Lytechinus pictus: one gene and its partners. The protein of the gene in region 2 interacts with the protein of the main gene of each other region in a pairwise test. Links are inferred from orthologs where the notes say so. Each region holds a gene or a part of one and is shown on either strand. Other genes may lie near its edges. The genes, in order: spectrin alpha chain, non-erythrocytic 1-like; exocyst complex component 1-like; girdin-like.

Region 1 (11,083 bases), on a different chromosome or scaffold from region 2:
GTACAATTTTTTTGCCAATAACTATTTGAATATGGGTGATATCTTTGTTTGAATGCTAAAAGCTTGTTTCTGAATGTCACTCCATTACCTTGGAACTGCCCTTTGTGGTTTTCTCCTAAATATCTAAATATAATCCAGACCTGTAGTGTATTGTTTTATGTCCTCATGTAAGAAAAATTCATATAAAGTAAAACTTGAAAAAAATGACATTTTAGCAATTTTATGTATTGGAGTACTTGGAAGAGTCCTTAGCTTACATACATCACTATTTCATCACATATGTAGCCAATTTGAAGTATCCATGGGTTTAGTGGTTACCAATATATTACATTTTTGAAAATTCATAACTTTTGTATTGTTTGCCCGATATTGTTCAAACTTTCACCTATCAACTTGTCTAATTTTTAGTTTTCCTCTATAAAAACAAGTTTTTATTTGGGTTGGATTCTCCTTAAACTGTGTTCTACATGATAACCCAAACTGAAATATTGAATGTTGCAATCTGGTTCCATTTAAAAAAATGAGCATTTTGATATTAAAAAAAAAAGCTAATAGAAATCAAAGTGATTGAGTAGGCTATCTGATTTAGCATCAAGAAATGATCACAAGTCGTTCTGGTATTAATAACAAAAGAAGAATAATTCTACACACATACATATGTTAAACGAGATACAATATACAGGAACAACTTTTCTGGATGCAGTAGTAGTGTGTTGTCAAATGTTTAAGGTTTTTTTTTTAATGTTTCCTTAATTTTTGAAAGTTTTATGTCATATTCACAAAACTTAGACATAACAGTACTGGGGGTGTTTCACAAAAATTTAAGTATGATTTAGAAGCACACTTAAATGCCTAGTTGTGTGCCTTATAAAAGGCATGACTGCATTGGTCAGTGGACGCGCACTTCTGCTTATTAATCAAAAAGATTGCTTATCATGTACGCGTCGGTATTTAAGTGCAACTTTAAGTCACATAATTCTTGGTGAAACACCCCCCTGGTAATATCTTTATCAAATTCTGTCAATTACAAGGGTGAAATTGTAATGTAAGAAAGTCATTACTGCTGATGTATGATTCTACCGATTTTAGCATTATATATGTGCTATCTGCATTACTTCAGAAGTGATCAGAAACAATTGGATAATATAAATATTTCTGACCACTTCTATTCCGATCCGCTAAAGGGCAATTCTATAAAATATGTAAGTCCGACCCCCTATATGTGGGACCTTCATAAAATTTTCTGTCTTTGATTTCTTGTTGTTTTGACAGTCTGTAATGTTCTCTAAAGGACCGTGACTAATAATCAGTTTATAAAGTAAAGTAAGACTTGAGAAAAATGGGGGGTGGACGTAGGTTGAGCATTTTATGGAATTGCCCAAAAGTTGGAACCACCCCCCTCCTTTCAGTTGAAACAGCATTGTGAAGAATATGTACTTTACTGAGGAGAAACCGTTCATTGGAAATGAGCCACTTCCTCCAGATCCTGGAGCTGATTATGACAGGACAAAGGATTAAGAGGGGAAAAGGTGGATCTGAGGACAAAGAAGATTAAAGTGACTCTAAACAAACTCATTGTACAACAAGGCTGTGGACTCACTGTGAACACCTTTTGTATCTTTTGAAAAGATCCATGGGTAGCTTCACAACAGAGCTTTGTTAACTTCCCGAGACTGAGCTGCCCACCCCCTTGGCCTACACAAAATACATTGGCAATAATTACAGGATCACAAAATAAGAACTGGTGGAGGATACATTTGGATAGTTTTGGTGTAGATTTGTGACAATTATAAGGAATAAAATAACTCAGTAAGTTTGTTTCTTTCGATTAAAATCAGCTATTTTATGATGTTATCTGACCTGTAATTCTTGAAGTTTGACGATTAATATGTCAGTCACATTTCCTTTTTGGCCACCATACGGCGAGTTGAAAGCAGCCGTTTTATCTTATTTTATTCAAGCCAATTATATGAAGCTGGTACAAAAAATGTTAAAACGGCTGTTTTCGACTCGCTTCAAGTTTTGAATTGCTAGATGTATGCTCTGTCTCCATGAGAATTTAATTTTGACCTACATGTATTTCGATCTTTGTGTCACTTCCTTACTACAGTATAGTGTGAATGTAAGCTATTGGATACAAGTAGGTCTTGTGTGTTCCAGAGAAATTCTTTAGTCAGACTATTTACCCACACCCAATGATTATGATTTGAAGTTTTATGAAATCTGATGAAAAGTCAAGATGTTGAGAAATTTATACAATGCAATTATTTCTTAACCCGGCCCTCCCCTCAATTTTTTGTATTGGAGTACTTGGAAGAGTCCTTAGCTTACATACATCACTATTTCATCACATATGTAGCCAATTTGAAGTATCCATGGGTTTAGTGGTTACCAATATATTACATTTTTGAAAATTCATAACTTTTGTATTGTTTGCCCGATATTGTTCAAACTTTCACCTATCAACTTGTCTAATTTTTAGTTTTCCTCTATAAAAACAAGTTTTTATTTGGGTTGGATTCTCCTTAAACTGTGTTCTACATGATAACCCAAACTGAAATATTGAATGTTGCAATCTGGTTCCATTTAAAAAAATGAGCATTTTGATATTAAAAAAAAAAGCTAATAGAAATCAAAGTGATTGAGTAGGCTATCTGATTTAGCATCAAGAAATGATCACAAGTCGTTCTGGTATTGATAACAAAAGAAGAATAATTCTACACACATACATATGTTAAACGAGATACAATATACAGGAACAACTTTTCTGGATGCAGTAGTAGTGTGTTGTCAAATGTTTAAAGTTTTTTTTTTAATGTTTCCTTAATTTTTGAAAGTTTTATGTCATATTCACAAAACTTAGACATAACAGTACTGGGGGTGTTTCACAAAAATTTAAGTATGATTTAGAAGCACACTTAAATGCCTAGTTGTGTGCCTTATAAAAGGCATGACTGCATTGGTCAGTGGACGCGCACTTCTGCTTATTAATCAAAAAGATTGCTTATCATGTACGCGTCGGTATTTAAGTGCAACTTTAAGTCACATAATTCTTGGTGAAACACCCCCCTGGTAATATCTTTATCAAATTCTGTCAATTACAAGGGTGAAATTGTAATGTAAGAAAGTCATTACTGCTGATGTATGATTCTACCGATTTTAGCATTATATATGTGCTATCTGCATTACTTCAGAAGTGATCAGAAACAATTGGTTAATATAAATATTTCTGACCACTTCTATTCCGATCCTTTCCTTTTTGGCCACCATACGGCGAGTTGAAAGCAGCCGTTTTATCTAATTTTATTCAAGCCAATTATATGAAGCTGGTACAAAAAATGTTAAAACGGCTGTTTTCGACTCGCTTCAAGTTTTGAATTGCTAGATGTATGCTCTGTCTCCATGAGAATTTAATTTTGACCTACATGTATTTCGATCTTTGTGTCACTTCCTTACTACAGTATAGTGTGAATGTAAGCTATTGGATACAAGTAGGTCTTGTGTGTTCCAGAGAAATTCTTTAGTCAGACCATGGACTATTTACCCACACCCAATGATTATGATTTGAAGTTTTATGAAATCTGATGAAAAGTCAAGATGTTGAGAAATTTATACAATGCAATTATTTCTTAACCCGGCCCTCCCCTCAATTTTTTTTTTTTTTTTTTTTGGGGGGGGGAATCGGGAAGGGTAAAAGTGGCTGCACCCCAGTCTTGGTCTGCAGGTTCAGACCCTTCATTTTCGCAATTCACATAGTGCATTATGCAGAGTCTGAAGTAGTGAGACTAGATTCACTATCTCCTGTGGCTGGCTCTTATTTGACCCAGTCTTTGGAGTCTAGTCTTCACTCTAGACCTGTTATTGGTCAAACCGTCTAATATTAGTCTGTGCCTGCAGACTACCCCAGTCTTTGCCAGTGGGTACATACATGTAGGCTACATATACTTCATACTTGAAATGAACATTACCTTGGATATATGGATTTAACAGCTGACAACCCACTTACCAACTGTGATTGGGTTTTTAATTGAGCTGAGTCAAAGCATCCAGTCAGACCTCAGAGCTGTTTTTTGTAAGTTCAGTCATGGGTCACCAAACTTAAAGGTACCGAGTGGGGGATTCCTGCAGACAAGATCATGTTAGCCCTGCATACAATGTAGGATATAACTGGAAGTAGGCCCACAAACAACAAACATGGAAGTTGCGGGTTCAAAACTCTGCCGTGGCACTGTTGTGTTTGAGCAAAGCATTAATATCTACATCGCTCTTTTGGATGGTGATTTTAAAGGTTGATCCCAGAAGTGAAAAACAAATCATATTTGATTGATAGGCCAACATAAATAACTGTAAATACTAAATTACACATTACATTACTACCATTAAGAAATGACATGACATGGAAACTTCAATGAAAAGACAATAACATTATATACCTGTAGGTTTGATTCAGACGAAAAAGCAACTCAAATTACAGCAAGCCATTAAATGCAGACAGCCCTAATCCAATTAACCAGGCAAAAGGGAAATGATGATGATAACAAATATCAACAAAAATAAAAATCAGAAACATGTATCATGAACGTTGTTGACTTTTCTAATGGCCATAGCCTAGGATGATATTGTGCTTTTCATCACATTTAATGTGTTTTGTGAAGGCAGTGTGGTCTGTTTTAAAGAAAAAATATTTTCTCTGTGTCATTTCTCTAAAATATTCTAGAATTGTGATTGTACATGAATACTTTTAAAGCCTGTATGTGCATCGGCCTACATTTACTTAGACCCAGCTCTCATTACAGTTCTAAAACCAGTTTAGTGGAAACTAGTTTAACTTGTGATGGGGACACTCGAAGTACTGTACACCTCGAGATACATTGTATGGTTTTCTAGACCGCTCTGCCTCGTTAAAGTTCTTGAAGCATAGATGAAGAGAAGACACAACATATCTTCTGGAAGCGATCTTTGCGCATTGTTGGGCGCGCTACTCCGTACAGTACATGTACAAATGTATGTAGAATGTCTATGCTGCAGTTTCAAATTTTGCTTGAAAAATGTCACCACACTGAGAGCATTCCCCTAGCAACAAGACTGCTTTAGGCGAAGTGGTTTTGAAAACCACTTTCACGTGATCAGATACATTAAGGAGCACTTACAAACTGGTTTCCTAAACCAGTTTCCACTAAATTAGTTTATGATTGTAATGAGAATGGGGTCTTAGTGTAGGGAATCTCATGCACATTGTGTATAGATCATGACTTGTTGCAATTTTTAACTGATAAGAGTGTGATACAGGGTTACCTATATGTACATGTACTGCCTAGCTTAGCACTAATATGTGCAAAATATAGCAGCCAACCATCTGCAACTGTCAAGTCTGACATCATTGTTGCCCATGGCAACAACATTAATATTCAGTCTCAGACTGGCTCTCTTGCATGCTGTGTTATTTATTGAGGGCCCAGTCAGCGGCATGATATCCCCTTTGTAATTTGTTCTACATTTTTGTTCCTCTCTCCTCTTTATTATTAAAGGTCACATTTCAATAACTTGTAAAATTGTTTAATGAGAAATATTTTCTGGCTCTTGAGCTGACCGAATTGTAATATTGTAAAGTGGAAATTTACTTTGGGGGTAGACAAATTGAAAGGATAATGTTCTTTGATGCAACTATTCTTTACTGTGCAGTGGCATATCAAGGCACTCAGGGCACATGCTATCATTGCATCCCTATGTGATACCCGGGTGAGCACAGAAATTGTGTCTGTTGTCTTGACTTGTGAGATAATTCATTAGACTTTTGCTTTTTTTTTCTCTCTCTCAAGCTCTGCTTCTCATTCCCTCCCCTCTTGCCCCTTTTTTTAGCACTCCTTGGAAGTGGGGCCTAAGGCTTGTCCCACCTTTCCCCGAGATTTTCCTCTGATCCTCTGGTTATAAATAATCGTGACACAATTTTTACTCTCTACCTTACTCAATTGATTATTTTTCAGATTTATTATTCTATGTTCTGATTAATGTGCATTTAACATTTAACATTTTGATGGAAGATGCTCTTTTGTATGTGATCTGCTTTCATTGCCCCCTCCAGTCTCATAGATTGTTGAAGATTTGTGGGTGTGTTCTAGATTCCCTTTTTATTTGCCTGGCTTTTTCTATTATTCTTTTCATTGGCAGTTTTTGCATGTCCATCTCTCTCTCTTGCTCTCTCTCCTTCCCGTCTCTCTTTCTCTATCTTTCTCACCTGGTACTCTATCCCTGACTTCTGTGTGTCTCTCTCTCTGTCTCTCCCTCCTCTCATCTCTGTCCTGGTTTTCTATCTCCCCATCGCCAGACTCTGCCGAGTGCTTCAGCCAATTTTAAGAAGCTGAGGAAAACAGAAAGCATTTACTGTGTCCCTTCTCTGTAAAGTGCTTGCTGGTTTAAAATGCAGGTGGTAGACTGGTATTAATTTAGTTGAATTCTAATCAGTTCAAATTGAGCCTGGAATGCTGAAATAAGCCGTGTGGACGTCATTAGCAAGAAGGAGAGAGAGAGCGAGAGCTAGACAGCAGTGCATCAGGCAGTTGATGCAGTCTCAGATTGCTTTGCTTGCATAACCTTAAACTTTCAGATGCCTATTGCATGTGTATGAGTGTTAAATATCTCTTTGATGATGTGATGGTTTCCATCAGGTACATGTAGGAGTCACTGGAGTGGATTGGTGAAGGGAACGCATCTCTTGCGGGTTTAGCATCATTGCTCAAGCGGAATATTTGACAGCGGATTTCTTGGAAGTATGCTCCATTCATCATGCGTACATGTATCTTATTAAAAGCATCTTGTACTGTTGCAGAGATTTACTGATGCCTGAATCTTGGAATATTTATTAATGACTTTGAATTACGCGTCAATCACAACTATACACATATGTGTACTTGTTGCATCCTGAACAATGTTCTTCTCTTCATCATGCATGTGGAAATGAATCTTGTTTTGTTATTAATGAGAAAAATATGAATTACATGATGTAGCTTCACTCTGGAAAATTTGTTATTCACATTGTTCTCTCATCAGACGGAAGGACAGGAATCACAGTATTGCTTGTTCTATTAAAAATCTCTGTTTTTGTTTTCTGTTTAGTGCTTCTAATGACAAGTTTTATGTCTTGTGCACCAGTTGCTGCAGAGATCTAGACCTGCTTTTAACATTCTCAACATCTCTTGGAAAGCCATGCTCTGTTTGAAGATAATGTAGATGTACATGTATCCCAATTGTACATGTACAGTCTAGTAGCTTTTAACAGCTCTTTGACATGAATATCAGCATACTGTAGAAATTGATAATTGAATGATAATGTGCAATTCTTTGTATCACATCACGTAATGATATAAGGTCTCCATTCAAGTCGCTGTCTGCTAACCTGATTAGCCAAGGAGGAGACACTTGTGCAATCAGAACACACTTGTGCATTGTGGCTCCTGCTTGAATGCTTAATCATCCACCCCTGACTCGAAGACCCTGCGGTCCTAGCTGATGAGTTCTTACCAGCAAGGACGCTGACGTCATTGAGACTGTCATTGCGACTGTCGTTGAGTGTGTCATTGTGCATAGATACATGTAGAGGGTAGGAGTGGTGCTATGCCAGTGTGTCCTTTTCTTGATGACCACCCAGATCTCTTTCTCTTACTCATCTTATGCCTTGGAACGTTGTACGCTCTTTGCTACCTGCTATCCTACCTCATCCTCTTCCTCATAGAGCGCAACAGTAAGTGAGATACATGTTCATCTCATGGATTTTGAAGGGAATTTACTCCCAAAACCGATTGTTGAATGTACATGTACATGTATGTATTAAAAGCTATGTTGTGGAATGTGCATACATGTATGGGTGTGTATTTGTATGTGGGCACCATGTATGTGTCCATCGCTACACAAAAATGATATACACCATACAGCACATATGAGCAAAGGATTTTGAATGAAGGGGTAGGACAATGTGTCAAAGGGTCAAATTTCTTTGAAAAAAATGCCTTTTAAATTAAAACTATAATTTTGTGATAGATTTTGACACAATAATCAGAAAATTGTATTTCACCCATTTTCCTTCCCTTTTGTTCCCTTTTCATCTCATCCTCTTTCTTTGTTGTGGAACTTGTTTTAGGAGGGGGGGATAGGGAACAAGTGCCTCCAAGGTCCACCCCCATCTATGCACCAGAAGTACATTGCTATACAGTTACAAATACATTGTAGGCCTATGGACCTTCATGTAGGATTATATTTTTTATTACCGTTATCTTACAGTTTTGTTTTTCTTATCAGTTTCTGTAATCATGTACATGTAGGCCTATATCATATGTTTCTATATTATTCTGAGAACTACAATTTTGTACAATTTTCATATCTCACAGATTACACATTTGTCCCAATGTACATGAATGCATATAGATCTATAATAAGTTGTTTGTACAGTGTGCTTTGACCTTTAATCAGATATATTGGCATTATTAAATTCTTGTACCACTGTAAAAACGGATTCCTCTTGAGAGCTGTACATTTTTAATATGAAAAATGTATAAATCAGAATACACATGTGTCCTGAAGTGAGGTGACTCTAATGTTTGAACAATTTAATCTCATAGAACTTTAATGGGATTATTGGCATAATAAATTCTTCACTACAGTACAGTTTAGCCTCATTTTACAGACTGTATCAAAATGTATTATTTTTCACTGGTTTCATAGTGAATTCTGAATCACATTGGGCATTTTTATACACTGAATGCTCTTGTTTTTGGGCCTCAATAGCCTTGCCGTTTTGCCTGTTATTTTCGTGTCCTTTGCATTGTTTCGTATTTTGCTGTTATAAAAGTAAATGCACCACAGAAATGTTACCTTCGGTTATTTCAGACTTATAAATTTATATACTGTAGGCCTATGATTTGTGATAATTGTAATAGTGTAACATTTTTTTTTTCTTTTTTGAACGTGAACACGTACCTCATTTGTTTTCTTGAGAATTTTTCATTTAATTCACAATACATGTATATAGAGATAAGTTTTTTTGCTGTTTACGGATACAAAACAAACAAGACTCAGTAGGAGGATACTATCTAGAGATGTGACTCGCTAAAAAAAAGGAGAACAGAATCTTTTGTTTTCATATTTTGCATGTTTGTGGGGTTGGGATGTAAAGGGACAAGGTTCAAGTTTGAAAGTCAAAATATAATCTAAACTTAGTAGGTTGCCAGTAATAACCAATAATAACATATCTGTACCTGCTTTTTGGGCCGTTGTTTTAGGCGCTACTAAAAGCGAAAATTACTATCATAGATTAATTTTCATTATCCAAGGCATTGATGAGAAAAAAAAAACATAAATAAAAAAGAAACTGTACAACTTAAAGAAGACTAACGATTGGAACTGTATTTACCAAGAGGGGGGCATATTGAAAAGGTCCACACACACTCAACGCACCTATAGAAAATATACACGCAGTACGTCATGCACACACACAGTAGACATGCAGTACAAGCATCAATGCACACACCAGCATTCATCGTGGGATACCGTTGAGGTATTTTATTGAGCGTTGGTTGGTTGGGAGCTACATGTTAGCATTCTCGGGAATATACCACGCACTCTCCGCACTTTGAGTGAATACATTACATTAGATTCTACAGGCTGATATCGAGCCTTACCCATCTCTGAGCTGCTGAAAGGGAGTGGCATTGCTTTGGTAATGATAATACATTATTGGCCCCTGCGTAGCATCTCTCACATACAGGGCCTTTTGAAAACGGACATCTCTGCGATCTCGTCTCAGTTTACCTTCTCTTTCGGCGGAGCAGACACAAGATCTTGTTTTTAACAGGTAGGAGAAATCAGAATCATCAAAGTTAAAGATCTGAGCTGGGGATTTATTGGTATCATTTTTTTTTTTGGAGAGAGATATGTCAAATAGGATGGATTTTCAAGGCATTCTTCATGATGCTGAATATTTTGGATGAGTATAACTTGTCTTGGAATCAACTAGTATGAATAATTTTCATGATATACATGTACTGTACCCCTTTACTCTAGTACAGACTTATTGAGTGATGCTTTCTTTTACAGGTATTGAGTTATTCTGATTGATTATTGGTATGCAAGAATGAATCTATTCTATTCTTCTTTGCCTGGATCAGTTCATTCTCTTGATCAAGCCTGTGGTATTTCATGACAGCTTCCATTTCATTGTGGTTGGAGATAAATGAACCGCAACCTTGATACCATAAGGCAGAATATACTGTACATGTACACATTAACTGAGCTTTACAAATTGAGGCCTATATAATTATTTCATCTGACTTTTTTTTTCTGATTAAGTGTTCAAGTAACTCAATATGCATGATATTTTTTTTAATTTATATGTATATTTGCATTCAGACATGGAAATTTATATGAAAATATGTTCCTGTTTGAACTGCTTACAAGAGGCAATGAAAATATTTTATTCTCTAAATCAGAGTTTCAAATGCAGATGAAAGAAATGAGCTTGGGAGGAGTTATTTTATTTGCATCTTACATGTAAGTTTGAATATACAACAAGAAGAAAAAAAAACAGGAGAATGGTCTGTTGATTAGCACTTGATACCAACTTAAGGCTAGATATATATGTGCATTTTGATCCCACCGCTGCCACCAGTTGTAACATTCCCAAAATCACTCTTCCATTCTGCTGATCCTGTGAATCAGGTTATGAATTAATATTTTTGTCACATTAATGTACTATCACATGGGTTGTGTGTTATGTTCACAGTACAGTACAGTAATTACATGTATATGCAATATATCAGAATTTTTTATCACTTAGCCTAACTCCCACTCATCATATAATTTGTCATAATGTACATGTAGGAAGAGTTGGCTCATGTCTTGAAGAATGATTCTGTGAATCAGGTTACAATGTATTTTAGGAAAGACAGGAGCAGTAGCGATGAAAGACTGGAATATGTCATCCAAGCAAATAATCTTTGTTGAGAATATTTGCATGTGTCATGTAAATGGCTCCATGGAAACATGTGCTTTTGTATGTGACAGTGTGAGGCATTCCAAGAAACATGATCGTTAA
Region 2 (10,904 bases):
GATAAGGGGGAAAAGAGAAAAAGAGTGGTGTGAGAAAGAGATCTAGTTAGAAGAAAATAATGTGCCACTTAAGAAATAAAAGTATAAAAAAATATTCATCTAAAATCACATCCATGACCATGCATATTTATAACACACAAGTCTATGAGGTGTTTTAAAACACGTTTTTTTTGTAAAAAAAACGGGTGTTTTAAAACGCGTTTTAAAACATGTTTTAAAACACACCGTTTAAAACGTGCCAACCCTGGGTCTAGGAATGCAAACTATCATACGTTAGTCACGTGACGTTGTACACAGAAATATGCCATGTTCTGCCTGCTCGATCTCAAAGTTTTGGGGAAAAATGAGATGTAACCATTATACCAGTCATAAAGTATTATACATCAAACTGTAGGTAATCTATTTAGCATTGAGATGACAATCAATCTCGACCTCTTTGACCCTTAGGGATATTCCATTGGGAAAACAAAGGTGCCAGGGTCTCGAAAATATGGGTGCTTTCAGACCGTTTGCCATAGCAAGAGTTGTGAACATGGACACTTTCAAATGAACAGCGAGACGTAAATAGTGAATTAATTGTAATAATATTTACATCAAATTAATGGAATTTGATAAAATTTTCACACTATTATCAATCTGGTGTGAGATTATTAATAATTATAAAGATATTCCCGGATTTCTGCAATATTACGTCCATGAAAACCACTGTTCCCTGTGTTGAAGCTGTGTGTGTGGACTTTCAGACACTCAAATGCACGCGACTAACCATTATGATACTTTTAAAAGAGGAATGACCTCCAGAATTCAAGCGCGAAGCGCCAGTAGATTTATGTTGAAGTTTAGACCTAGAACAGGGACGTTGAACCTTTATAATCATGAAAAAGATGGTATTTTTATCAATAAAACATGGGAGTCTAATTTTGTTTTAGTGTTAATATTCAGATCTTCAAACTTGACATTTTCCTATCCCCTTCATCATCCCCTCTCCTTCTCCCTTTCCCCATTTTCGTTCTCCCTTCTTTTCTTTTCTTCTCTCCCTTCCCTTTTTCGCTTTTCCTTTCCCTTCTTTTCTTTCCTTTCTCCCTCTCCTACTCTTTTCTCGCTCTTTCCATTTTTCTTTCCCTCTCCCTTCCCCTCTTCCTTTCTTTTGTTTTCTTTCTATTTTATGGTCTCCTTTTCCCTCTCTCTCCTTTACCTTCCCCCCTCCCCTGATCTGTCTTTTCTTGTCTCTCCTTCCCTTTCCCGCCCCCTCCATTCCCTTTCTCGCTTTTTCCTTTCTCTTCTTTTCTTTCCTTTCTCCCTCCCCTACTCTTTTCTCGCTCTTTCCATTTTTCTTTCCCTCTCCCTTCCCCTCTTCCTTTCTTTTGTTTTCTTTCTATTTTATGGTCTCCTTTTCCCTCTCTCTCCTCTACCTTTCCCCCTCCCCTGATCTGTCTTTTATTGTCTCTCCTTTCCTTTCCCGCCCCCCCCCCATTCCCTTTCTCGCTTTTTCCTTTCCCTTCTTTTCTTTCCTTTCTCCCTCCCCTACTCTTTTCTCGCTCTTTCCATTTTTCTTTCCCTCTCCCTTCCCCTCTTCCTTTCCTTTGTTTTCTTTCTATTTTATGGTCTCCTTTTCCCTCTCTCTCCTCTACCTTTCCCCCTCCCCTTTTCCTTTCCCTCTCCTTTTTTGTGCAAACATTAACACGAACATCTTGCTTCCTACACACACACACAAACGCCCGCAATCTAACACACGTAATGCGAAACAATCGGGACATTATCATTTTGTTCATATATATATATGTATATTTTCTCAATGAACATTTTCATCTATTTAAAGCTTTGAAAATTATTAAACAATGATTCCATAGGCGAAATCTCAATGATCATTAGGAAGGTACTTTACCCATTTTCATTTTATGTCATTGTGATTATTCCAGACTAAGGCAACATATTTTGGATATAAAAATACGTGAAGGATATGTTCCTCTTCTGTTTTATACTTTAACAGAAAACATTTTGTTCAACCAAATTATGATTTGTATTTCCAAGTTCCATGTAATATTTTCATTGGAAAATCTCTTAAAGGTCAAGTGCACCCCAGAAAAGATTGCAACCTGTTGATTTTTGGTACAATTTCCTATTATGCGCCGACGACTTGAATCGAGAATGTTCGATAGGAAAATTTCGCATTTCGATTGTTGTTTGCGTAATTTCCACCGCAGTATGAGGATGACTAAGGACGGATCGAACGAAGTATCCTGGTTGAGATTTGGAGGTAAGCGACAAAAACACTTTAATAAATAATTTATAATTCCTTTTTCAAATAAACTTAAATCATACGATCAAGATTAACATAGTGGACAAATAGGCGCTAGTGTAGTTTCGCACCTCCCCGTTTAATGGTTTTCAAACATGTACAATCTCACCCTAAATAATTCACAACCTAAATACTTGCATCTGAGCCTCCAAAGTCCAGTAGAAGTTAAATATTTGCCGCTTTGACACTTTTTTTTACAAAGTTTTACACCTATTTCGGAATCACTCGGTCGCTTGAAGCTCAGCGCTGCACATAGGCAGTCGGTACGCGTACAGTACGTACCACCTAGGCCTAGTGAAGTGCAAGAAGAGCGAGTTTTTCTATGGTATCTTCAAAAAGATTTTTTTCCCCTCTTTCAGCTTGCACCAAGTATTACGGTAGTGGTTGTGCAGAGTGGTTGATGTTTGTTGTGTGAAGGTGTGTGTGGGGTGTGCGTGTGTGTTTGCTTGTTTGAATGAAATAAGAAATGTGAAAAACCACTACCGTAATCACTAGCGTACCTACGGGGGGGGGGCAGGGGGGGCACTCTGCCCCCCCCTGACGAGTCACAACCCATGCAAAAACGTATCTTTGCCCCCCCCTGACGGACTTGAAAAAACCTTTTTTGGCCCCCCTGACGAGCTTGAAGACCTCTTTTTTTTTTTTTTTTTTTTTTTTTTTTTTTTTGCTTGTCAATTTTTTTTCTGGTACGAAATCCTTTATTTGTGATCGAAGACCTTTTTTTTTTTTTTTGCTTGTCAAATTTTTTGGGGTACGAAATCCTTTATTTGCGATCGAAGACCTTTTTTTTTTTTTTTTTTTTTTTTTTTGCTTGTCAATTTTTTTGGCGGACGGTTTTGCCCCCCCTGTGGAAAATCCTAGGTACGCCACTGACCGTAATACTTGGTGCAAGCTGAAAGAGGGGAAAAAATCTTTTTGAAGATACCATAGAAAAACTCGCTCTTCTTGCACTAGGTGGTACGTACTGTACGCGTATCGACTGCTTATGTGCAGCGCTGAGCTTGATCAAGCGACCGAGTGATTCCGAAATAGGTGTAAAACTTTGTAAAAAAGTGTCAAAACGGCAAATATTCAACTTCTACTGGACTTTGGAGGCTCAGATGCAAGTATTTTAGGTTGTAAATTATTTAGGGTGAGATTGTACATGTTTGAAAACCATTAATTAAAACGGGGAGGTGCGAAACTACACTAGCGCCGACAAATATTGAAAGGTTTGGCGTAGTTTAGTCCCTCACATTCGTGTGATGAATGAAAACGTCAAAATGCACTATGAAATCACATGTGTTGTGCGAGGTTAGTATACTAACCTCGCATGTTGTGTGAGTGGAAGCCGCCTGGCTACAGGGCCCCAGGCCCAGCCAGCCGAGCCCGTAACTTCACCGGCCCTGGCCGGCCCGCGTTATACCTCTCTTCGCTGTTATTAACACGGGCTAAATTAAGTTCGTATTCAACAGTATCTAGCGCGCAAATTTGTTCCACGAAATCCTCATATTACCTGCAAGCACATAAATAATTATAATTCCATGTGGCACCTATAATCATCTTATATTTATCAAAGAAATACTGATTAATTTCAGTGTTTACCTGGCTTACTTGGATGCAGGAAGTTCGAAGGAAACCGTACACTGACTTCCGCTGCGCTGCGCGCGCGCGCTGGGTCGATAGCCGAGCGCGCGTACACGTTGGATCGATACGGGTGATGTGATGGAGGGGATGATAATGATGATGATGCCCGGTGCCCGGTGATGATGATGATGATGATGGTGATGGTAATGATGATGATGATGATGATGATGATGATGGTGATGACGATGATGATGATGATGACGATGATGATGATGATGAAGATGATGATGATGGTGATGATGATGATGACGATGATGATGATGATGATGATGATGATGATGATGATGATGATGATGATGATGATGATGATGATGATGATGATGATGATGATGATGATGATGCATGATGATTATGATTATGATGATGGGGATGATGAACCAGGATAATAATGTCAATCCCGGTCATGATTTCTGAAGAGGTACCGATATATGGATAATGCTGGTTATGATATAATGATGAATACGGGGGTGACGATGTTGAGGGTGATGGATATGGTGTGGTGACGGTGGTGGCCAGTGCTGCTGATTCCTAGCACTGCTGTTGCATGCTGCCTCTGATGATGATAATGACACTGTTTTTCATAACATTGAAAGTAATATCTAGAGCAGGATGTTAAACTTTGGTATAAAATGTTTTATTTAAATGTTAGTAGTTTTGAGTTTCAATATATTCAGTAGTTTCAATATATTGTCTACTCTATCCACTAGCGTACCTACGGAGGGGGCAGGGGAGCAGTCTGCCCCCCCCCCTGACGATCCACAACCCATGCAAAGGACGTATCCCTGCCCCCCCTGACGAGCTTGAAAGACCTTTTTTGCCCCCCTGACGAGCTTGAAGACCTTTATTGCCCCCCCCCCCCCTCGCTGACGAGCTTGAAGACCTTTTTTTTTTTTTTTTTGCTTGTCAATTTTTTTTCTGGTAGGAAATCCTTTAATTGTGATTGAAGACCTTTTTTTTTTTTTTTTTGCTTGTCAAATTTTTTGGCGGACGGTTTTGCCTCCCCTGTGGAAAATCCTAGGTACGCCACTGCCTCTATCATTATCATAATCATAGTGTTGTTTCTATATAGGCTATCTTTGATTTTTAATATCATTCATGAACAATTAAGCGCAAGCTTATGTTTTTCATACAGGCCCTACTGACCAAATAAATGAACATTTTAGGTGACTGTTATATTTTGTGAAAACATGGGTGGATTGATGAGTTCCCTTTTCTTATTATGTTATTACATGAAATCATAATTATTTTATCAGTTTTTCATGCATGTGTGAATGATTATAATAAAATAAGTAAACTAGCAGCAATAATGTCTCAGGCCTGGAATATCTCATGCATTAAAGCAGTTGTCAAACCATTATTTTAGTTCTTGGAGGAAAAAATAACAAAGACAAAAGGCAAGTGGGATGTGATTAATTTACTCATTGAATATTCATGAAGTCAAGCATAAATTACTGTTTCACTGAAATAATGCAATTTTTTAAAGTGTCATAACTTTGTTATTCCTTCTCCGATTTAAATCAAATTTTCAATGTTCAAATTGTATTAATTTAGCCTGGAGTAACCCTTTACAAGCACTGTTTGTATCATGAACAGCACACGTATCCGAAATGCGAGCATTCAGTTTATATGACATATACAAAGATAAATTTTAAGGATTTTTTTTAGAAATTCATGAAGAGGAAAGTTTTCTGACCAATGAAAATGCGAGCGAGCAGCTCAAGCTGACTTTTTTCTCTTCAAATCTAAAAATTTGATAAATAATTGACTGTTTTAGGACTTCTACAGCGCGTCCCCAAAAATGTCCCTCTGACATAGGGCTGAATTAATTCTAAAATGTGGTAGTATTCTCAAAAAAATGTTCATGAGTAGAGCTCACTTCATGATCTAACTTCTATGAAAATTTCATTGGTTGCGCTTCAGCGGTTTTGAATACTGTTATACGTAACAGTGGTGCATTTTAGCCCATTCCAAGTTTGCAGCATTGATGCATTTCTGTATTGTCTATGGCATATTAACCCATCACATTCTTACATCCAGGATCTGAGCAGGGACATTTCCCTAATCATATCCAGGCTCATTAAATCATAAACTTTGGTATGTTCAGAAGAAAAGAAACATAAAAAAAAATTAAGCTTGTTTGATGATTGATAAGGGGAATCAGTGCACCAACTTGGAAAGAAAATGTGAATGATGGATGAGTAATATAAGCTGAAAAATAAATGGGAATCCACAAGTTAATCACCCTTTGCGAAAAGGAACTATACCAGAGAACAATTTGACTTTTTTTTCTTTTAAAAAGTTACATCGAATTAAATTGACCACAGTAGCTTATTAAAGGGATGGTCCGGGCTGAAAGTATGAATAACTTAATAAATAGAGTAGAATTCATTGAGCAAAATGCCGAAAATTTCATCAAAATCGGATAACAAATAACAAAGTTATTGAATTTTAAAGTTTAGCAATATTTTGTGAAAACAGTCGTCATGAATATTCATTAGGTGGGCTGATGATGTCACATCTCCACTTGTTCTTTTGTATTTTATTATATGAAATTAGGTTTATTCAAATTTTTTCCTCCAAGAACTAGAAAAATTGGATTGACAACTGATTTAGTGCATTATATATTTATTGCTGCAACTTATTTCATTATAAGGGAGACATATCATTCACACAAGTATGAAATAATGAAAAAATTATGATTTTATGTAATAACATAAGAAAACGGAAAGTGGAGATGTGACATCATCAGCCCACCTAATGAATATTCATGACGACTGTTTTCACAAAATATTGCTAAACTTTAAACTTCAATAACTTTATTATTTGTTATCCGTTTTCGATGAAATTTTCGGCATTTTGCTCAGTGAATTCTACTCTATGTATTAAGATATAAATATTTTCAGCCCGGACCATCCCTTTAAGTAAAAATAAGTAATAAAAACAAAAATGCAGTATTATAGGCATGAAACAGACATGACCCGTTGTATTAATCATTGTGCATCTCTTAATTGTTATCAAACGTGAAATGAACTGTCAAATATTGTTTTTGCCCTTCTGAACATGCTCAAGGTTGTGATTTGATGAGCCTGATTAGATGATGGACATTTCCCTGGTCAGATCAGGGAATTCCTTGGTCAGAATGGTCGAAGGGGGCTGATATGATATGTGCAGAACACACAGCAGTGCTGCAGGCATGCAAACTTGCAATGGACTAAAATGCACCACTGTTACATCATAGAGCTCTATGGTTACATAATAGACTGTGTATTCAAAATTACTGAAGCGAGACCAATGAAATTTTTATAGAAGTTAGAACATGATATGGGCTTCCTAGTTTCATACATTTCACTGAGAATAATTTTTATTTTTTGAAGTAATTTAGCCGCATATCAGAGGGACATTTTTTTGGGACGCGCTGTAAGGTGTGTAACTAAATGAGAGCCCGCAGCGCGAGCGAATTTTAATTCAGATCTGAACAGGGGCGGCGGAACCAGGGGGCAGGGGACAAGTGCCCCCAAAAAATTCTCCGTAGAAAAAAATCCCTTTTTTCAAACTAATGGAAAATGCCCTTTTTCAAAATGAAATGTGCCCTTTTAAAAATGAAATACCCTTTTTGAAGCAAAACAGCAAAGAGTTATGGTGGTAATTCAACAAATACCCCAACATGGCCAAAGTCCATTGACCTTTGACCTTGGTCATGTGACCTGAAACTCGCACAAGATGTTCAGTGATTCACTGAATATCTTGTGCGAGTTTCAGGTCACATGACCAATTAAGGTCAAAGGTCAATGGACTTTGGCCATGTTGGGGGTATTTCTTGAATTACCATCATATATCTGTAAGTGTATTGATCTAGTTCATAAAACATGAACATAAGAGTAACCAAGTATCACTGACTTGGTTACTCTTATGTCCATGTTTTATGAACTAGATCAATACACTTACAGATATATGATGGTAATTCAACAAATACCCCCGACATGGCCAAAGTTCATTGACCTTAAATGACATTTGACCTTGGTCATGTGACCTGAAACTCGGACGGGATGTTCAGAGATACTTGATTACTCTTATGTCCAAGTTTCATGGATCAGATCCATAAACTTTCAAAGTTGTGATGGTAATTCAACAGATACCTCCCACAGGGCCAAAGTTCATTGACCTTTGACCTTGGTCATGTGACCTGAAATTCGCACAGGATGTTCAGTTATACTTAATTACTCATTTACTCTTATATTTAAGTTTTATGAACTAGACCAATAAACTTTCAAAGTTATGATGGTAATTCAACAGCGCCCTCAACTTGGCCAAAGTTCATTGACCCTTTATGACCTTTGACCTTAATCATGTGACCTGAAACTCGCACAAAATGTTTAGTGATACTTGATTACTCCTATGTCCAAGTTTCATGAACTAGGTCTATATACTTTCTGAGTAATGCTGTCATTTCAAAAACTTAACCTTCGGTTAAGATTTGGTGTTGACGCCGACGCCGCCGCCGCCGCCGTCGGAAAAGCGGCGCCTATAGTCTCACTCTGCTATGCAGGTGAGACAAAAACGAAGAAAAAAAAAGTCCGATGGAAGCAAAAAAAAATACTGGTTTAAAACAACGAAATGATTCAGAGAGTTAAATGCGTTTTTGGCCAATCAAGTATTTATCGCAGGAACATTATAATATACATGTATTTTGTATTTATTGTATTTTCTTATATACAATGAATATTTTATTGGCAAAAAACACCTCATGAACTCTCTGAAATATTTTGTTATCATGAAACGTGAAACTGTTTTGTTTGGAACTAAAAACGGGATATTCTCATTTCTTTAATACGGTGTAGTGACCCGGGCCGTCGCTAAAGGGGGTGTGGGGGTGCGACAAAAAATGAAAGAAATGAGGAGATGAAAGGGGGAAAAAGGAAGAGAAAAAGAAGAAAGAAAAAAGCAGAGAAAGAAGGAAAAGAAAAGCAGGGGCTGTTGGACCGACGGAAAAATGATAAACTGTCGGGTCACGCAGATTAGAATGTACGTCTTCATCTATACCGACAGTGATTAGAATGTCTAGATTTGATCAAGTCGGAATATCAAAATTTGATGAGCGTTGTACCCTTCGTTTTCATTACTGATTACAAGAAGTGCAAAAAGAGTGTTGCCATTTTAAAGTCGAGATTTAAAAGAAAAATCAGCTTGCATTTCGCGCTCGTAATAACTATTTATTGAGATACATACATCCTGATCTTTATGAAAAAACACCGTTCTTAGAATGTCCAATTGTCAGGTCTTAATGGATATCCAATGTCTTTTATTGTAAAAAAAAAAAAAGGTGCTTAGTATACATGTATATCCATTTTCATATCGGAAAAAAGTCAGCTCGCGCTCCGCGATATCATCAAATAGTAATGTATTTTTATTGAAATACCCATCCTGTTCAAGGTTACATTGCTTCGAATGTCTTTTTTTTTTGGTCTAAATTTACCTCAAAAGTTAAGCTGGCGCTTCGCGCTCGCATCTTTAGTGAGATTTATATATCCTCTCCACATTTTCCCTTCATATTGGAAAATGTTTAAATTTTCCCTCAGAATATCGAAAATTTCCGCTCTCGCATTAAGGTACACATATTGTTAAATTGCAAAAGGGTGAAACTATTAAGTTTTAAGTCAAAATTTTATTTGTTAAAGTCAAAATATCAAAAGTGGTCAGCTCGCGCTGAACCGACAGTGATTAAAATGACTCTTTTTAAAGTCAAAGTCTCATCATATAGGGAAATCAATATTCTCTCCACAATTTTCCTTTATGTTTGACATTGCTCAAAATTTCCCTTTCGGGTCAGTACTATGCCAAAATTTCCACTCGCGCTTCGCACTCGCATTATGTTTTTTGAGGTACACAGCTTGTTCAATTGCAGATGCAGAAACTGAGTTTGTTTTAAAATTAAATTTTTTTAGTTTTCAAGTTAAAATATCCAAAAATTTAGTTAGGACAAATCATGAAAAAAAAACAGATTCTGGCGGCCGCGACGTAGAAAATGCGGATGAAAATATTTTCGCCCCCCCCCCCCCCCCTCCCCATTTATGAAAGCCGGAACTGCTCCTGGGCATGACGTAAGAAAATGTGACTAAGGAGAATGTAGAACGAGAACAAGATTCATGGTCGTGGGACGTCGGTTATCGGTACTGATATTTGTCGGTAATCAGGGCCTCCACACCCTTTACTGAAAAAGGCCCCTGATAGCGACCTGACATTTTTTTCTAATCTTTATACTAATCTCCCCTTTTTCTATTTTTCCTTATAATTTCCCCCTCCCCCCCCCCCCCCACTTTTCTCTTTCTTTTTCGAGCGCGGCGGTCCCGCACTATGGATCACCTGTGCGCTTGTCGAAACTCAGTTTTTTACTAACAAATATTTAAAAAAAGTTACTTTTCAGCGTTGCACATTAATTTTGACATGTTTTTCAGTTGATAAAATTGAATTCAGTTTTTGCAATGTTCGGTAGTTTTATGGCTGTACACCATGGCCCATCGTCACATTTTAATCTTACGGTGATGCCATATAGAAATGGACGAAAACAAACAAATCGGGGCCATGCAGAGGCGTAACAGGGGTCGGTGGCCGGGGGGGGGAGCCAAACAATTCCTGGCCATACAGTGGTGTAATGATCATTTTTGAGGGGGTCAGATATGGCGTATCGTACAGAATTTATCTTTTATTTGGCCTATTTGCTCATAAGTACAGGGACTTGCGGTCTGACTGTTTGTGACAGATTTTGACATAATATATTCAGAAAATAATATATTTCACCCCTCTCTCTTTCCTTTTTTTTTTGGTCTGCATATACATGTACGCCAATGTGAACAGGATTGTGCGCGAAAAAGAGGGGCACAGTATGACGCATGTGCCAAAAAGTTGCTTAAGGCTTAACTTATATCTCCCGAGCGAGTGAAGCGAGCGAGAAAAAAAAAACCTTTTCATGAAAATCTAACTT
Region 3 (10,049 bases), on a different chromosome or scaffold from region 2:
TGGATTTGTGCCCCGATTGGCTCTCCATACTTAAACCACAACTTTAAACCAGGGTTTAATTTAAACCTGACTTCAGAATACGGGCCATTGTCTGTCATTGGGAATAACATAACAGTATTTGTCATTGTGGTTTGGCTTCACTGGTGTGATTGTAGCACTGCGCCGAAACCTACCTCCCTGAGTGTGGCAAGAGTCTTTTTATCGATAGTAGATTGTTTAAGTAGCTCCTTGTTCTCCCTCTCCAGCTCCTTGGCCCTGTCCCCGGATCCCTTGTTCTTGCCGACCGTCTTCTGCAGGAGCTTGTTGTCCTGCTCCAGGCTGCCGATCCTGGCATGGGCCTTGTCCAGCTGCTGGTCCCTGGACTCCATCAGACCCCGGAGACGCCTGATCTCCTTCTCCAGGTTCTGCTTCTCCTTGGTGAGGTTCTGCTGCTCCAGCTCCAGGGTCTTGTTGTCTTTCTCCAGCTCCTCCAATCGCTTCTCACTCAGACTGTGAAGGAAGGAACGTGGCAGGAATAGAAAGCTGAGCTCATAGAAACTAATTGCCACCAACATCAAATGTATCAATGTCAATTGTATATAGAATGTTTATCATAGCTTGCCAGCTACAAAATTCAATGACTCCTCGATGCAAGTATCATGACATATTGGAAAGAAAGATACACGAACAACCTTCCCAAACAACCTTTCACAAAAGTGTACCTGCATATCTTTAATGCCAAAAGTAGAGAACTCTCAAGTAAACATTAGGACAGATATTGTACGTTCTTTTAAACATATATATTTGGGGAAAATAGATGATCGAGGAGTTATTGACTTTCGTTTGAAGGCTAAAATGCAGGAATCACTGCATGTATATTGTTATGATTTCAATTTGTAATTATAACCATCAAATGATATTTATTTTATATATCAATCTTATTCCATAGTCCTACTTCTTTGATTAAAGGTTTGAAAAGTTTAGGTTAAAGGATACATTACTTACCTGAGAGCTTCAATTTGTTTCTTCAACCTCTCCACCTCTGCCTCCAGGTTCTCATTCTCCCTCTCCAGCTTGTGTATGGTATCCTTGTTGAGCTCCACCACCTTCTCCACCCTCCTCTTCTCATTACCTAGCTTCATATTATCCACCTCCAGCTGTCCCGCCTTGTCCTGCACCGTCTTGATCCCCTCCACCATGTTCTGGAGCTGTCTGTTCTCCCTCTCGCACTCCTCCTTATCGTGCTCCATCTCCGTGATCCGCGTTGCCATGCCCTTCATGGCATCCAGCGACCTCTGCAGGGTCTGGGTGTCCGCTTTCAACCTCACGTTCTCATTCTCCAGGTGCTCCAGACGTTGGATGCGGACCTTGGCCGACTCCAGCGCCCGCGTCACCTTGCTGATCTCCACCTCCAGCTCCGTGTTGTTCTTCTCCACCTCGTCAAACTTTTCACACATCAACTTGAGCATTTCAACATTCCTCGATAGTTTTTCCTTCTCCAGTTCCAGAGCCTCATTGCTCTTTTCCAAGTCCTCAATCCTGTCTGTCCTCTCTTTCAATCTCTCCAACGATTTCTGCAATTGCTTTGTCTCGTGTTCCGCTTTGGACAGTTTACTCTGATTATCCATCATGTCCTCCAACAACTTCCTGTTCTCCTTTTCAACATCCTGTATCCTCTGGTCGACATCCTTTTTATTTCTTTCCCGCAGGGTTTCTATCGTCCTTTCCAACTGCTCTTTCTCCGTATCCCATTCTTTCTGATACCTCTCAGAATTCTCCTTGATGGTCAAGATGGTGTCATCCAGAGCCTTCTTTTCTCGCTTCAGGACACTGTTCTCCTGTTCAATCTCAAGATGACCAGACATCTCCTTGGAGCTGGCCTCTTGCACTTTTTCAAGCTTCCGGCTGAGTCTTTGATTTTCCTTCTCGACCTCGAGGAGCCGAGTCTGCGCTTCTAACCCGGCAGATTCTCGCATTGTTTCCATCTCGCGATGGAGTCTTTGACATTCTTTTTCTAATTTGAGCACTTTACTTGAAGCACTATCATTGCACTCTGCTGACAAGGATGCAGCAGCTGTTAAATTTGGACAAAAAGCATTGAAACAAATTGTTATTCAAGCAAAGTTCCATAAAAAAAACTCAGTGATAAAGGAATGAAATACTTTTCATGAGAGTATATCAATTGACTAACTGTAAATCAGACAAAACACAAAGAAGTGGAGATTGACCCAGTCCAGCAAATTTTGAAAGAGGGGATGAACTGGAAGAAGCATTGCTAAAGATAACCAGAAGAATAAATTGAAAGTGTATTGAACCTCGTTTCGGACATTGCTTTATGACTAGAATAAACTTTAAAGACCATTATTTTACTTTTTTCTATTCCAGCATCTTTTAAAAAAGATTGGGTGAACCAGGAGAAACACTGTCCAAGTTAATTAAAAAAATAAACTAAAAGTATACATGGACCTTGCTTTTTTTTAAAGAATGATATATGACAAGAATAAACTTAAATAAACCTTAACTTTACTTTTATTTTCTGGCAAAAAGAAATCCTTGAACCCAACATACCTGAAGAGTTTAGCTTTGCCTTTTCCAGCTCCACACCCAGACTGGCCGACTCATTGAGACTCTGTTTATGGTCTAAACTCAGCCTAGCCACCTCCTCCGCTAGCTCTGCTATCCTACCCCTGTCCATATCTCTCTCCTCCTCTAGCGTCTCCATCTGAGCCTTTAACCTTAGACACTCTGCCTCGGCCAGGTGGCCCCGTTCCAGCTTGTCGTTAGCGGTGGTGACCTGCTCCTCCAGTAGGGACTTGGTTTCCAAAAGAACCGTGTTGTCTTCTTTTAATTCCTGATGGATAACAACAGTAATAATTGTGAATGTATAAAGCACAATTTCTGTACGGATTTACTCTATCTGGACCTTTAGCCTTAGACACTCTGCCTCGGCAAGGTGGCCCTGTTCCAGCTTGTCGTTAGCGGTGGTGACCTGCTCATAAAAAGAGGGACTTGGTTTTCATATCGATAATTAAAGAAGGGTTAACTGAAGATGTGAAAGTGGCTTTATGCAACTGTGGAAGTCTTGAAAAGACAACGCCAACTGGGCAATTCAATAAAATAATCCAAACTTTTTGTATGTCCGACCCCTAATATTTTTCCATTTTTTCTTCACTCTATAATCTGCTCAAGCCATTATAATTGAGAGCAGTAAACCCTTTCACATAAACTAGAAAACAGAAGACAAATACAGGGGGTGGAATGGACATACACTACGGAATGGCCTTTACGAAGTGATGCAACAAGAAATGGCTTTGATAGAAGAAATTTCAACAGCATTTCTAAAGAGCCGTGTTATGACAGCAAAATAAACATAATTTTTTTATATTTTTCTACATTAATCTTCTCCTTCAAAGCCATTATCATCCAATGAGGAAAAAATGGCATAAAACATGATGCCACTTGGAATTGATACAAAAAGTCTAAACGTCATCTAGAATGACCCGTTTCTTACATGTACATGAAAAAGGCATATTCTAATGGCTGAAATGTGTTGAAAAGGTCTGAATTCAGACTTAATTCTGAAAAGTGGCATCCCTGAAAACACAAATTCATAAACAAGCAACCTTACCTCGACTCTTTTCTTGAGATACTCTAGCTCATTGAGCTTCTCCCTGTACTTGGCGATCTCGTTCTCGTACTTCTCTGCTTTGCTGGCCTTCTCCTTCCACACGTCGAGCTCATCCCTGTACGCTCTCGCTGAACGCGCATCTTGCGTCAACTCGAGATTCTGGCAAAACAAAAATATTAATAAATAAGGTTGAATTAGTGATTATAATGACAAATCAAGTTTTCAAAACTCAATTGTAAAGTCAATCATTGATCAGAAGAATGAGTAAAGAAAACATGGTACAGGGCCCTCAGTGATAGCAGTTTGTCAACTCAAGAGGTTACTCTGTTGACATGAAACTGGAAATAAATGAATAAATAAATAAATAAATAAATGACATTAATAAATAATATTAATACTTCATCACTTCACTTCAGCAGACATTAATATCATCCACATCAATTCAAAAGAACAAATTATATTTAAACATAATACCAAATAATTTGAATAAGTTTCACTTTCACCACATTAATAAAACATATTTGACACACTCAAGAGTGGTTACTTTAAAGAGTCATGGCTAATGGGGTTTGCTACCCTGTTAACATGGTCCAGTGTAGAAAATTAAGTGTAAAAATACATTTTTAAGGCAAATATTACACGGATTACATAATAACTGAGTGCAAACCAATAAAGGTCTGAGGTTGATTTAATCTCAGTTCTATTTATGGAAGGCCAGTGAGTCCATAATCCGTCACTTACAACGTGCAGAACCTGTAAGCAGTGCTTTCAAAAGAGAATGCACAGATGCATGTGTAATTGAATCGACAAATCACCATGCTTATATTGGCAGATTATATTTTTCCAATTTTCAATTTTGAGATCGATGTTAACTAAATGTATCTTACATCTGACGGGCCACAGGGTAAATGAAAATAAGTTTAAAACTTAGGATTAAATATTTGAAACTTTTGTGGCTTACCTCTTGCCGTAACTTCTGCATGGTGGTATTATACTTCTCCACCTCCTCCTTGTACTCCAGAACCATCTCATTCTTCTCCTCCAGGTCCTGCCTCATTCTCCTCAGCTTGGCTTTGGACTCGGCTAGCTCAACAGTCACATGACGTTTGTCCGTTCCGGGGCTCGTCAGGGAGGGGGAAGGGGAGAGGACACGCCCGTCTGCCTGAGACTGGAGGTACTCCTTCTCTTGACTAAGCTCCATGATAGTCTATGGGTTAAAAGGATGAATGGATAATGAACGGAAAGTGATCCAATATATGCCCCTGCAACAATTTGCTCCCATCTTAATATTTTTGAAGATATAAGGTTAGCCTAAAGGCTGCTATAATTAGCTCTTTTTTTAATTATCAGCATTATTTGTTATTGAATAACATTTTGAAAAAAAAAGAATAAAGGTGAATGCTATGTTTGTGATGTTTTATGATTATTATTTAATGTACATCTTTTTGATGGGAACAAAATGTCAATAGAGCATACATGGCAACTGCAAATGCAGGTATTTTCTTTCTGAATTCAAAAATGCCTGCAAATACTCAATATGATCCCACAAAAAACAAATGCTTTCATTTCTTTCAACTTCATTTATTTTTTTAAACATATTTCTGACCTATAAACATCGCAATTACAAAAAAAATCAACAAGTTTTGAGTAAGTTTCTGTGTCACAAAACACACCCACAAAATCCTGAAATTGTCTTTAAATGATTAGTGCTTAGATTAGTGATTAAAGAAAGGACTTAACTAATCAGAAAATATTTTATTTCTCAAACACCACATATCAAAACAAGTACATTTTTCTTGGATTGAGATAAACAGAATGTTTTCCCATAACATCAGACCAATGCAATTAAAATCTTCAGTGATCCTCTATTATGCTTTTCACACTGCAATATTTTTCCTTAACCCCGGGAAATTGGTGGGGCTAAGGGGGGGTCTTAGCCCCACCAATTTCCCGGGGTTAAGCTTAGCCCACTTCGTTTTCACACTACGTTTTAGCAAAGTGGGCTAGCACGGTAAATAGTACGGTACTATCTGGCCCTGCAAAAAAGCAGGGTTAGCCGGCTTATTGTGGTGCTAGCACCACAATTGCGGTGCTAAGAGAATGCAGCGTGAAAACCAACAGGGCTAAGGAAAGTGGGGCTAAGCATTTAGCCAATCACGGAAGTAGAATTGCACGTTAATCACGCTCTGTATGGTAAAATCATCAATATTCATGAGCTGAGGGATAGTCCGGGGTTAATGCATTATCCCCGGCTGAGCAGATAGTATGGGGTTAAGAAAGACAGTGTGAATCGAAAAAAAGATAGTATGGGGTTAAGGATAGTCCGGGGTTAAGGATAGTATGGGGTTAAGGAAATGCAGTGTGAAAAGCATATATATGTGATGCATAAAAATAAAAAAATGACATTTAAGCACCTGTCATTAAATTACTTAAAAATTAAAATAACAAGCTTTGAAGTAAACAACCAACTTCCTTTTCCACTTTTCTGCCAAACACACTAGCCAGGCAATGTTTATGTTTTATACAAGGAAGTTGACTATTTCTTTCTCAGAATATATACCAAAGTATATACCTTTGCATTAGTAGTTGTTATGAATTCGATTGCATTATCAAATCATGTAATGATGAAGATTAAGTGGCTGATTAAAGATATTAATAAAAGCTAAGGAGATAAATGGCTTAGTTTCATTTGTGACGTCTATGTGCTGTATGTGAGCATGTAGATTTTTGCACGTAATTCACACTAAGATGCTTTAGTTTCATCCTAAATGATTTCAATTAATCAATTCAATCAAAGGAGTCTCTCTTGATGAAATATTAAAGGAGCCTATGCAGATGTGACTGAATTGTATTTTTATATGTTTCATGCAAATGTGAATAAATAAACTGATGGGGCGTTGCAAGAAACTTGCGATCAATTGCAAGTCTATTTTCGTTCCCGAAATCAAACATATGCCGTGCAATTAATTGTAAATTTGCGATTGATTGCTAATCTGCTCCATGAAACAAGGAGTGTAATCTGATTTGATATTGTTAAAAGTGATCAATCAATTGTAAAATTGCAACAGAATATTTGCGATTGATTGCAAATATTTTCTTGCAACACCCCCAAAGACAGAATTCAAGAAAATGAAAGATAAGGATATTCAAGATGGGAGTTATTTTCACATAACAGGAAACATTTTGCAAAGTAACTTTGCATTTTATTTTTAAACTTTGACACACAAATGCTAGTTTCCTTGTTGTTTATTCTTAGTATTCTTGCTGTTGCCGATTCTTTTGCTATTGATCAGCTACATATCCTTTGGTTGCACTTCCGTTACGCCCAACTCATAAAACACAAGACCACTTTTAATCTTAAAACTCATACAGACATCAGTCGAAACTCTTGGGCCCTTTGCACCCAATTACCACCCCTCTGGGGTCTTGGCAAGAACATTTGCAGAATATTAGCAGCAACAACAGGAGTCATTGTCACCCTCTCAGTTTGAAATCCAAACCACATGAACCTATTGAGGTGCTTTCAGTCTGACTTCAAAACAAAGAATACCAGGTATTATCCTACTCCCATTTCATCAAGACTTGTTGTAATAATGAACACTTTCGATATCAAATTTACTGTCAGCCAATCAGAGTGAAGGATTTCAGTAGCTTTTAACTGTTATTGAAAAATTGTTAATAACAAGTTTTATGAAACAGGGCCCTGATCAGTAAATTTATCCTGATCTACACTAATCGGAAAAAACAGGTATTCTTGCCATTGTGAAAGCAAATAATTTTTTATATTTCTGAATGAAAATACCAACTAAATAGTAGGTACTTGTCTAAATATGGAGAACTTTCAAATCCGAGTGAGTACAATGGCTGTGGGCACCATGTGGCACCTGGGTTGCCAGCTTGCTATGAGCTCTCAATCGTGAATCATGCACCTCGTCAACAATTAAGACCATACTGGCCACGCTCACAACTTCAAAAACTTTCCCTGAAAGGATTTGAATCGGGCGAGTATCAATGCAGAAACAGGTATTTTGAGGCCGGATCAAATTCTCATAACTGTATCAATCATAACTGAGTCTGAGGGCCCTTTTCATGAGATCCATATCAAAGTGCTTTACAATGTAGAAAATTTGAAATATACAGACAAAAGTGAATTAGAAATTATACAACAAAAAAATAAAAACATCAAGGCCACTGTAAATTTGTAATATGCAAACAAAAGTATAATGGAGCTATGGGTATTCTGGTGATCGAGTCGGTCTGAAAGCACCTTTTGACTCGCGAGAGAAGAAAATTTGTGAATCATGTAAGGTTAGACCACATGATCAGTCTCTGTATCACGACCTTTGACACCCGTCAATCTCCCGTGCTTCATTAAGGAGTAAAAAAAAATGTTACCAAGAGTGAACAGTTGAAGTCAGATATTGTGCCACTATGCCACTATTTCCGGTTGATAAACTTTTTTGGTACGGCTGGAAGTTGTTTGCACATGGTTGATGAAATATTTTCACGATTCTTTCTAAAGCTACAAGTAAACAGTAACATGTTACATGAAGTTGAGTAGCATTACGGTCATCGATCCGAAAGGGAAACGTTGTATATGATTGATGAGATTAAGTCTATATACGAACAAGCAAGAAAAAAAAGTTGAATGCATGTCGTTATTCAAAAGAGCAAAGCTCAGTCATTTTTTTATTTCCATTATGAAAATATTGGCACCCGCCCCCCCCCCCTTTCTCTGCAAAGGATATAACTTGATTGTATCAATTGTAGACAATGTGAGACTTGCATGCAACTATTTGAACTAACGATTGCAATGGAAAGGCATATAGGATAAATTGTTACAACTACAGCAAGATTATTTCCTTTTCGAAATTCAACTTAAGACTTGATGAGGGAATACCCAAATGTAGAGTAATCTAATAAAATATTGATGACTTATGATTGTCATGGCGACATACATACACCAAACACAGAGGTCCCCTCCTTTTTTTGAGTCAGCGCTACATAACTATTTTGAATGAATAACAATCTCCTCCAAAACATAAATGTCAATTACACAATCATGCGGTCCTTATTATGAAAAGCCGCATGAACTACTAGCAAATAAAGAAGGCCTAGATAGTATTGAATGATGTGACTTACTTTCTTTTTTAATAGAAAAAATACAAGGAAAGTTCTGGTTCACAATCCTGATAGTGCTTCAATTATTGCAGAGGTCTCAAATTATGTCAGGCTACATAATAGGTTTCCTTTATTTATATTATGTAGGCATAATTTGTTCTTTGCTCTCAAGTAAAATTACCAAATGATGATGGTGACGGCAATTGCCATTGCTGTGATGAATGCAGCAGCTTTCAAATCGAAACATAAGGCTTATAAAAATCTGACAGCCATTTTGAAGAGATGGAAAATAAAATGCAGGCCAAAATATACATGTCTGCATGTAGGCCAATAAAGCATTTTCCGCTGGCAGACCACCTGCATGATCACGATGATTCATTGGAATTTAAATGGACATCAAAAATCATACTTTGGCCCCTGTGGGGAGAAGTTCCACAGTATAGGCCTTGTCGATAGAATCTGAATTGACATCAAAATTCGTGGTTTGGTCCCTTACGCCTGGGAGAAATGCCACATTACAGAGCATATATCTGACAACTGATGTATTCCAGATACTTAAACCTGACTTTTATGGCAATGCACTTTTGGGAAATATATCTCATCCAAAGATACAGATTCACTGGAAATAGATAGTATAAACTTCATAGGCACCATGCAAGGGCCATTAACACAAAGCCTATTGATTGATCATAAGGTTGATTTCTATGATTAATTGCATTGATTATTGTGTATGATCAATTGTAAAAAAATCAGCTCCGGATGAGATTAACCACCTAGCTTTATGTTATGGAGGCCCAGGTATATCCACAATTTCATATTGGAAATATCTTTATTGAAAATAAATACATTTATCTGAACTTCTGAAGTAAATATTAGGAAAAGGTATACCAGAATTTTCATCTCCTGCTATACACCCATCTCCTTCTTTTTTATCCCCATCTTGCCTCTCAATGAACTTCATATCAAAAGTTTTGGTACAAATATATGCATCTGGGGAATTCTACTCAATTGCTCCACTCTATCAAATTGCAGGGAATTAAAATACATCAATATGGTCTGCAGTGAAGTTTTTAATCTCGAGAGATTTTAAGTTAAATCCTTTAGAGATTTTAAAATAATTTGTTCTTTTAGGATTAAATCTCAAATTTGATTGGTCCTTAGCTACAGTCCACCTGGGCTTATTTTAAATCTCTGCAACTTAAGAGTGCGTGTATGCAAATCATTCCAATTGACAGAGATATTGGAAAAACAGTAAATATGCTTTGCTCCTGCTATGCAGCAGAGACAAACAAAAAACATACCCCTCTTTATTATTTGCCTT

Evidence for each region.
Region 1: the proteins of exocyst complex component 1-like (region 2) and spectrin alpha chain, non-erythrocytic 1-like interact in a two-hybrid assay, tested with the Homo sapiens proteins (2 studies listed by BioGRID and IntAct). The link is inferred for Lytechinus pictus from reciprocal best matches to the Homo sapiens genes EXOC1 and SPTAN1.
Region 3: the proteins of exocyst complex component 1-like (region 2) and girdin-like interact in a two-hybrid assay, tested with the Homo sapiens proteins (2 studies listed by BioGRID and IntAct). The link is inferred for Lytechinus pictus from reciprocal best matches to the Homo sapiens genes EXOC1 and CCDC88A.

The regions. Positions count from the first base shown.
Region 1 is NC_087259.1:29,335,118-29,346,200, forward strand, and holds the start of spectrin alpha chain, non-erythrocytic 1-like, read left to right. Parts: upstream 1-6,677; 5' UTR 6,678-7,738; intron 7,739-9,482; exon of another isoform or gene 9,483-9,844; intron 9,845-11,083. UniProt on the Homo sapiens protein: Fodrin, which seems to be involved in secretion, interacts with calmodulin in a calcium-dependent manner and is thus candidate for the calcium-dependent movement of the cytoskeleton at the membrane.
Region 2 is NC_087249.1:53,891,356-53,902,259, reverse strand, and holds the start of exocyst complex component 1-like, read right to left. Parts: upstream 3,937-10,904; 5' UTR 3,884-3,936; intron 1-3,883.
Region 3 is NC_087251.1:45,618,113-45,628,161, forward strand, and holds the start of girdin-like, read right to left. Parts: upstream 4,814-10,049; 5' UTR 4,809-4,813; coding exon 4,569-4,808; intron 3,767-4,568; coding exon 3,608-3,766; intron 2,831-3,607; coding exon 2,548-2,830; intron 2,054-2,547; coding exon 985-2,053; intron 490-984; coding exon 174-489; intron 1-173. UniProt on the Homo sapiens protein: Bifunctional modulator of guanine nucleotide-binding proteins (G proteins). Acts as a non-receptor guanine nucleotide exchange factor which binds to and activates guanine nucleotide-binding protein G(i) alpha subunits.